Oryzias latipes: one gene and its partner. The protein of the gene in region 1 binds, or shares a complex with, the protein of each later gene. Links are inferred from orthologs where the notes say so. Each region holds a gene or a part of one and is shown on either strand. Other genes may lie near its edges.

What was found. The genes of interacting proteins can lie anywhere in the genome.
Region 2: lsm6 (region 1) and lsm8 share a complex: the UniProt entries of both Homo sapiens proteins name them as parts of the precatalytic spliceosome. The link is inferred for Oryzias latipes from reciprocal best matches to the Homo sapiens genes LSM6 and LSM8.

Annotation. Positions count from the first base shown.
Region 1 is NC_019859.2:18,489,252-18,493,397, forward strand, and holds the start of lsm6 (U6 snRNA-associated Sm-like protein LSm6), read left to right. Parts: upstream 1-1,346; 5' UTR 1,347-1,434; intron 1,435-1,851; 5' UTR 1,852-1,861; coding exon 1,862-1,955; intron 1,956-2,075; coding exon 2,076-2,189; intron 2,190-4,146. UniProt on the Homo sapiens protein: Plays a role in pre-mRNA splicing as component of the U4/U6-U5 tri-snRNP complex that is involved in spliceosome assembly, and as component of the precatalytic spliceosome (spliceosome B complex).
Region 2 is NC_019881.2:23,243,759-23,248,032, forward strand, and holds lsm8 (LSM8 homolog, U6 small nuclear RNA associated), read right to left. Parts: upstream 2,801-4,274; 5' UTR 2,599-2,800; coding exon 2,568-2,598; intron 1,515-2,567; coding exon 1,474-1,514; intron 1,385-1,473; coding exon 1,257-1,384; intron 539-1,256; coding exon 448-538; 3' UTR 101-447; downstream 1-100. UniProt on the Homo sapiens protein: Plays a role in pre-mRNA splicing as component of the U4/U6-U5 tri-snRNP complex that is involved in spliceosome assembly, and as component of the precatalytic spliceosome (spliceosome B complex).

The sequences.
Region 1 (4,146 bases):
AAGATTGCTGATCTTCATGACCTAGCAAAAGCGGAAGTTCTTTGTCCAAAAACGGATCGCCATATTTCATATATAAAACAGTCAAACTTAGTGTGTTAGATATTACTTTAAACTTTCCTTGATGTTTTTATTCATAGACATTCCAGTGAGAACATCAAAAACAATAAAGTAGTGGTTTTGATTGCCTCATCACTGAACTTACTCCAAATGTTGTCCGTATAAACTTTGTAACTACTTAAACTTCTTTTATACACAACAAATACTTAATCTTAGCATTTCTATTTTTCTTGTCTGATAGGTTTTCACAAATACATTGTCACAATCAGAAAGTGTAAAATATCATGCGCTTTGACCTCAACTGAATCCAACAATGTTTGCAGTTCTTTGCATGTTCTGCTTGTTCCACGGTCTTCTGTGTGGCATTCATTCTTGGCGTTGTTTTGCTGGCTGATGAAGTTTTCTACTGTTCCAAATTTTAATTTGTCTTGATTTTAGTGCAGCTAATGATGATTAATCAAATGCTTTGCTCTGCCCTTTGTGAGTTGTGTATCTCTGACACAGTTTAGGACTTGTTTAAATCCAAACTATGTGAATAAATGTTAAAAGCATCCCAGCAAAAGAATGCATCCAGCTCTAACTGGATTTCTCCTGGTGGCCTTCTCAGCTTATTAAACATAAGTGAGCTCGATCAATTGCTCACTTGTTTTTTTTTTCTCACTGTTTAATTGCTGAAGCCATAGAACATCCAGTTAGGTTGTAACATTGTCCGTCTAACAGGTTTATTCTGCAGATTCAAGCCTTTACAGATTGTCCAAAGGTACTAAATGTTTCTTCAGCTGAAACAGGCATGTGACTTGACATTTCAGGTCTCAATAATAACTTCCTCTGACTGCCTTATTCTAAGTCCTAACATTTGCCTATAAACAACCCTTACTAATTATTGCTCTCTTTGCCAATGAATAGCAACTGGTGCAACATGCAGCAAAAACGTAATATGCTAAACTCTTCAGTTCTGGGATAAAAAATTGTGAATTGATCCAACCGGTGTTGACATAAAAAAAAGTAGTTTTGAACTTTTTATTTTATTTTACAGGACTTAAATTAGAATGTAATGTCTTGACATGTGTCCTGCTTTAGAAAAAAGCCGGTTAAGAGTTTAATGGTTTGAAAACAGTAAACAGTTCTATTATTATTATTATTATTATTATTATTATTATTATTATTATTATTATTATTATTATTATTATTATTATTATTATTATTATTATTATTATTATTATTATTATTATTAACAGATTTTCTAAATTTAGCGCGTTTGCTACTTAATGCGATTTCGATATTTTTGACAACGGCCGGCTACCATAGACTGCACGTATATGATTGGGTAGTTCGCGGGTGTCGTTGAAAACAGTCGTTTGCTAGACGTAATAGCAGGTGAGTGGAATGTAAACCAAGCCATTTACCTCTGCTTGTAAAGCAAACATGCGTTTAGCCTATTTACATTGCAGATACAATTGTTTAGAAAATCTTAAAGAACCTCCGGCATTATCTCTACAGACATTAGACAGTTAACCCCGTCAGTAGCCAGATGGTTAGCTACGCTAGCAGTAGCAGCTAACGTCTCCCGCTTGCTCAGTGATTTAATTTGTTCATTGATGCTTATTTCTGTAGTTCAGCACGTGGTTGGAAAAAATGAGAGTTGGGCTTTTTATGTGGTATTTTAGCGGAAATAAAACATCGTTTTTTATGTATTAAATCCACGCTATTAAACATAAAACTAATCATGGAGGACGATGGCGATGCTAGCACAAGAAACTAAAAGGCTAATATACAAAAACCTTTATTTTTCAGATCAAGCAAGATGAGTATGAGAAAACAAACGCCGAGTGACTTCCTTAAGCAGATAATTGGTAGACCAGTGGTGGTCAAACTAAACTCTGGTGTGGATTACAGAGGTAAAACACCTGGCGTGCCAGGCTCAGCCGCACGGTTCTCCTTTATTGTTATTTCTAAATGTCTGTTAAGGAATGAGACTTTAACCAAAACTTTGTTCCTGTTTGCTATAACTTATGCAGGTGTTCTGGCCTGTCTGGATGGTTACATGAACATCGCCATTGAACAGACAGAAGAGTATGTTAATGGACAGCTCAAGAACAAGTATGGGGATGCCTTTCTGAGAGGAAACAATGGTAAGAGGTTACATTTTTACAATAAAAATACTGATTAAGCCTTCTGCACATAATGACGTTAGTCAAGGGGGTATGCCTTTAGATTATATGTTTTAACTTTACACTGAATAGTAGGTATGCATAGTCAGTTAAATAACCCAAAATCATTGGTTAATGATATTTGACCTATTCATCATAGTTTTAATTTATTTTTAAATACAGCGATGTATGTCTGAAACATGCAAATATGGTGAAAATATTTACATTGCATAAGGCATGCCTAAGAACTCATTTAAAGAAATTGGAATTATTGGTCAAGTTTAGGTGACTATGGTAGAGAGATGTGGTTTGGAGTTGTTTCTTTGCAGAAATGATTAGGTAAAAGTAGCCTAATCAAATAGATTTAATGCATGTCTTAAACCAGGGGTCGGCAACCTTTACCACTCAAAGAGTCATTTGGAGCCGTTTCCCACAGAAATGAAAGCACAGGGAACCGCAACACAAGGGGTGTTAGAAATAAAGCGTTTTGCTTTTGAAATGTCGCAATAGTTCATTTGACAATACTTGTATTGATTCAAAATGCTGTCAGGATATTTATTTAATTATTTATTTTAATTATTTATGAGCCTTATGTTTCCTTTGATCTTTTGTCCATTTTACACAACCTTGATCTTGTGCCCCTACGAGATTACCGCTGACTGTCTTTATAGAAGAACTTTCCATCCCATACCAGACTCTGGTCAGTATTCACATGTGCAGACACGCCCCCTCCGCGTGCTCACGCTGCGCTCTTCCTCCTGACCGCTCGCGCTACCCGACGGTGTTAAAGGCTCTACAACAATCTTAGAACATGATAGGTATTTTACAAAAATACAGACAGTCGCAGCACAGGGATGAAAGCGGCTCCGGAGCCGCAGGTTGCCTACCCATGTCTTAAACCAACAAAAAACTATTTGGGGAGTATTAGAAAAAAGTTGACAATTTTGCTAATAGGAACGTTTCAAAGTGATAGAAATGAATCTTAACAATTTTAAGTGCATGATTGATTTATATTGGTTTAACCAAATGGACAGTAATGACACAAATTTTTAAAGGTTTAAGGCAGTACGAAGCAGGATGATCTATAGGTGTGACACAAAAACGATCAGATGCAGATTGTTTAGGAGGCAAACGAATAGAATGGGCTGGCTAAAATATCTTTAACCTCTTAAGACCTGATGTCCACATGTGCGAACATCACATATTACCACAGTTGTTAATTTTGCTTAACTGGGGCCCTGTGACTATGTGTAGAGGGTTATCTCAAATATTAGCTCGGGTCTTAAAAGGTAAAACTATCACCTTCCCAGTTTATCTGAGTTTTTTCTTTTGCATATGGAAAATATATTAAAAAAAAGACTTTGGATACATCTGTAAATGGCATTTCTAAAACTGCAGTAAATAATTTCACTTTACCTTTAAAAATGTAAATTCTTTCACTAACTTATACCATCTGCTGTGAGATTTCATCTTTAGGTACACAAAATCTGTGTTTGGGGAATATTTGAAATTTGTTTGAAATGTTAACCACTAATGGAGAGCTAGCCTAGCATATTCTGACACAACACAATCAAGGAAACCTTACATAATGATGTAAGCTTTCTCTTTTTTGTCCTTTTATTTTCTAAAGAAACACACTTTATTCCTATGTGTGGACAACACAAAAATCCAAAAAAATTATATAAGGGCAATACCAATGTTACTACTTCATCTGCAGAGACAGCCTAAGCACTAGAGGTGTGTATTGGCAAGAGTCTGACGATACGATGCGTATCCTTATATAGTACCGGAGCACATTTTCTTTCTTTTTTAAAAAGAAAATGACTTAGAAAAATATCTGACTTAATTTCAATATGTCTTTCATTGTAAAAAAATGGTCAAATTCCATTTAATGATCACAATGTTGAGCACTGCAACTGTATCTCATATACAAGTTGCT
Region 2 (4,274 bases), on another chromosome or scaffold:
TTCAAGTTTCCATGATCACAAATAAAGCAAAGCAAATATCTAAATAAAATAAACGTCTGTTTAAAAAAAATAGCTAATAAAGTTTTCAGAACAGAAGCTCTAAAAGGAAAACATTTTCACACATTTATTTGTTCTTCCCTGAAAGACGAGAACATGGAGCTGAAGAAAAGCAGAACTTTGTGCTTTAAAACAAACTCAAGTCTTTTTTTGAGTCTTGGTTTCACCTTAAAGCAAAATGAAAAGAATCAAATCCAACGTTATTCAACTTTTCTCTGTTGGAGATGAAGACCGTGACTCAAACCTCCTTTATAAAAATACAAACGTGGAAACATCAGAACAGTCTGTTGGAGGAGGAAGACTCTGATCACCCTCAGATCTTCATCTCCACGGCTCCCGCTGCAGCAGACCCCTCCCCCTGAGTCCACTGTTGCCGTGGAGACGGTGAGCTCAGTGAACCACAGAGTTGAGCGGCTCGGCTCGGATGTTCCCCAAGTCCAGCGTGGAGTCGGTCTCTTCGTCGATCTCACCGATCACCGCTCTGATGAGGAAAAAAAGAATCGCCACGCCGTCAGAATGACCTTTAGAGCCCGCTGGGGGGCTAAAGTCCCACTCCCACCAGCTTCTGATCTATTTTCAGATGGTTCGCAGTGCAGAGTGAGCCCATCTTCATTTCCCATCATCCATGTGTTTACACTCTCTCCTGCTAGCTTACAGCCCCTCACCCCCCCATCTTAACATTAATGGAACAACAAAAACAGCAGCAACATCAGGTCCACCCGTCCAGTTCTGATCCAGATTCCAGCTCAGACCAGGAGAACAGACGTTCATGGATCTGTTGGTCTGCAGGTGGATGATCAGAAAGGGGCGGGGCAGGGAGACTGTGGCCCCGCCCAGAGTATTTTCTACGCTATAAATGTAATTTTTTCCCATCAGCATTTTTTTCGTCTGCTCCTGATTCACAACAATTTGATTAAAGAAAAACTCAGAAATTGATCTCAATGATCTGAATCTATGACCTCCATCATCAGAAAACCTCTACAAGAAGAAGAGCATTTTCATCAGAGCGGCTCTTTGCCCCTGGAGGGGGAGGATTCTGTCGACCTGTGGACTCGAACCCACGGGCTGAAGGTAGACGCTCTACTCTGCTGCTGAGCTGCTTTTACCTGCTGTTTTCAGATCAAATGTCCTTTCAACTGTCTTCAACTGTTTCCTGTTTCTCTGTGTTCTGATGGGAGGACCGGCGGTCTCAGACTCACACGTTGTCTCCTCTGACGATGTAGAGTCCCAGCACCACCTGCTCCACGCCCTGACTGGAGCTGAAGACGCGCTCGTGACTCTCATCCAGGATGAGGTTGATGGTCTGATCGAAGCCTTTCAGAGTTCCCTGAAGAGAATCAGAAATGAGAAAATGAGGCTGGGCTCCAACCGAAAAGAGCGGATCCAGCCGAGGACAGGAGGAGCATTTGAACTCACCACGATCATCCTGCCGTCTGAAGTGACGATGGCCACCGTACCTGAGCCAGCATCGGTCAAAGAAACTCATCCAGAACACATCATCACCTCACAGCTTCTAGGAAGCTCAAAAATCTCTACAGCAGCTTTTCCTCTGAGTTCAGAGCGAAGTGTCGGATCCAAAGTCCCCTGGACTCCAGATACCAGCAGAGAAAAAGTTTAAGAAAAAACTGAGCCCAGGTGACCGAAGCCCCGCCCCGACTTCTGGTTGGTGGAAAAGACAACATGCTGTACAGATTCAGCCTCAAAGAACAAAAACCTTCACAGCTGCTTTTCTGTTGCTGAGAATAAACTGCATCCACTGCTGCCTAATTGAAATCAGAAACACAATTTTTATTGGAGTTGATTAAACTGAGTCAGTGTGATGTTACTTTTTACTGTTTTTTTGTGGTTTGCTTTTCAGCAAAACAAACTTCTCTGCAGCTGATTTAAATACGAATTTAATTATGGGATGTAGGAGAAATTAGCACGAATCTGTAAGATAAGATTCAGTTTCACTGAAGACACGCGGGGAAACCAGCAGCATGTTTTCAAAAAGATGAACTCTGGGAAAATAAAAGCGGTTTAGAAGTAGAATTCCTGATATTCATCATGAAGTTCTCAGAATGTTTTGGTTCCTGTGAGGAGATCCTCCTCCAGAACTAAAGAGATTCATGCAAATCTCTTTAATCTCTAGGAATAATCTAAGGAAATATAAAAGAGCATTTCTCCTAATTATTTATTCTTTACTTCTACTGACAAACCCGGTTCTCCAATGATCGATGAATAATAATCAGGAAACGATAAGAAAAATAATCTGGTTTAAACTTTCTGCTGAAAATAACCCAAAAGGCTACAAATTCTTATTTTTGCACGATACCCGAACAAAAGCACAAAATAAACAGTGTTTGAAATCTAAAGATGAATTTAGTTAAGCCTACTAAATAGACATTTAAATTACACTCTTTATATTTAACAAAACACGAGTTTTCGTTAGCGCGCTAAGCTAGCAGTTAGCCCTCCATTCATTTAAACGGCGGTTAGCCTGTTAGCCGCTAGCAGCAGCGGAAGGATACGGTTGATGTAGCTCTCCAGCGCGGTGGACATGTTTGTCCGGAGCTCCTTTTTTATTTATCCAGCTGGCGGGAAGACTTGCGTTTGAAACAGGCTAAGAGAACCCGCAAAAACACCGCACAGGCTAACGGCGGCAGCTAACAACAGCCAGGCTCAGCTAATCTCACACAGATTCATAGAGCTGAGGCGTCAAAGCGCGCATGCGCATGTCCTCCTTCTTCTTCTGTGTTTTCTTTTGGCGGTTAGCAAACACCCTGCTGGCGCATTAGTGTCACCACCTGGGACGGAGTTTGGAGAAATTGTTTTTGAGCTGTTCTTTACTTTTAATTTCCATCCTCACACATTCACACATTATTAAAATCTGCTTTAAAAAGTGTTTGTTTAAAGAACTTAATTAAACAAATAATCATACAATTAAATGAAATGACAGCTCCAATCTGAACTTTTCAGGCTGTTTTTCTTAAAATTTATTTTTGTAACAAATACTTCACACATTCCAGCATCATCAGAACCAATCATTAGATGTGGTCATTATCCGGTTTCACGTTTCTCTTAACGGTTTAGGATCCAAAACTAATTCTAGCCTAGTTTTCAGTTTCTCCTTAAAGACCCACTCTGATGTGATGTTTTTAACATGTTCTTGTAGCATTTTTCTCGTAATGGAGAGCATATATAAAATTATTTAAGATAAAACTGCGTTTCTAAGTACTTCTTTATTAAAATCGTAAATCAGTAGCAAAAAAAATGCCATTTGAAAAAAACTCCCAGTTGTTACGCAGCAACAAAGATGGGCGGGGCCACAGCCTTCCTGCTCCGCCCCTTTCTGATCATCCACCAGATCCATGAACGTCGTCGTTCTCCTGGTCTGAACTGGAATCTGGATCAGACCTGGATGGATGGCAAGCTCTGATACTGCTTGCTGTACGGTTACACTAGTAAAGTTAAGTTGGGGTTGTGAGGGGCTGTAAGCTAGTGGGAGAGAGCGTAAACAAAGGGATGATGGGATATAAATGGAGACGTATCTCCATTTTAACATTCAGACCAGGCCGGTTGAAGAACCTCACCTGATCATCTGTTCTGCGTCCTGGACGACCTCGGATGATCAAGAGAGAAATTAAGATTTCCTGAAGAAGATTTTGACTCAGAGATTTTTACAAATGTAAAACTTTAGTTCAGTTTAATGTGAAACATTATATACATGACAGGAAACCCAAACAGACACGTTTGAATGCATGTGCTAATGTTAGACCACATGTGGAGTCACAGCCTCCCGTCTCACTTTATTGTTGCTCAGTATTAAAAAAACAGAAGGTGGGGTGGGAGGTGGGGGGTGAATGAAGGCTGACGGGACTGGGACAAACACCAGGAACCTCATGCTACCAAAGTATTAAATTTGTACAAAAATACTTTACAACATCCTTGTTCCTTTAAAGAAAACAAACATACAGTTTGGTTGGTGAAGCTACATGAAAACGACTCTGACCCACTATTTAAATGGCAGTGCTGTGCACGTGCGTGTGTGCGTGAGTGAGTGTGGGTGGGTGGATGTACTGCCGAGCTGGAGTGCAAATCCTTGCAATGTCACACACACGCACAATGACACACGCACGGTTAGAACATACGCACAAACACAGTGTGTATGGCTTTAGATCTCACTCATTGAGCCCTCTTAAGCCACGCCCCCTTTAGCCATGACCACTGAACACGCC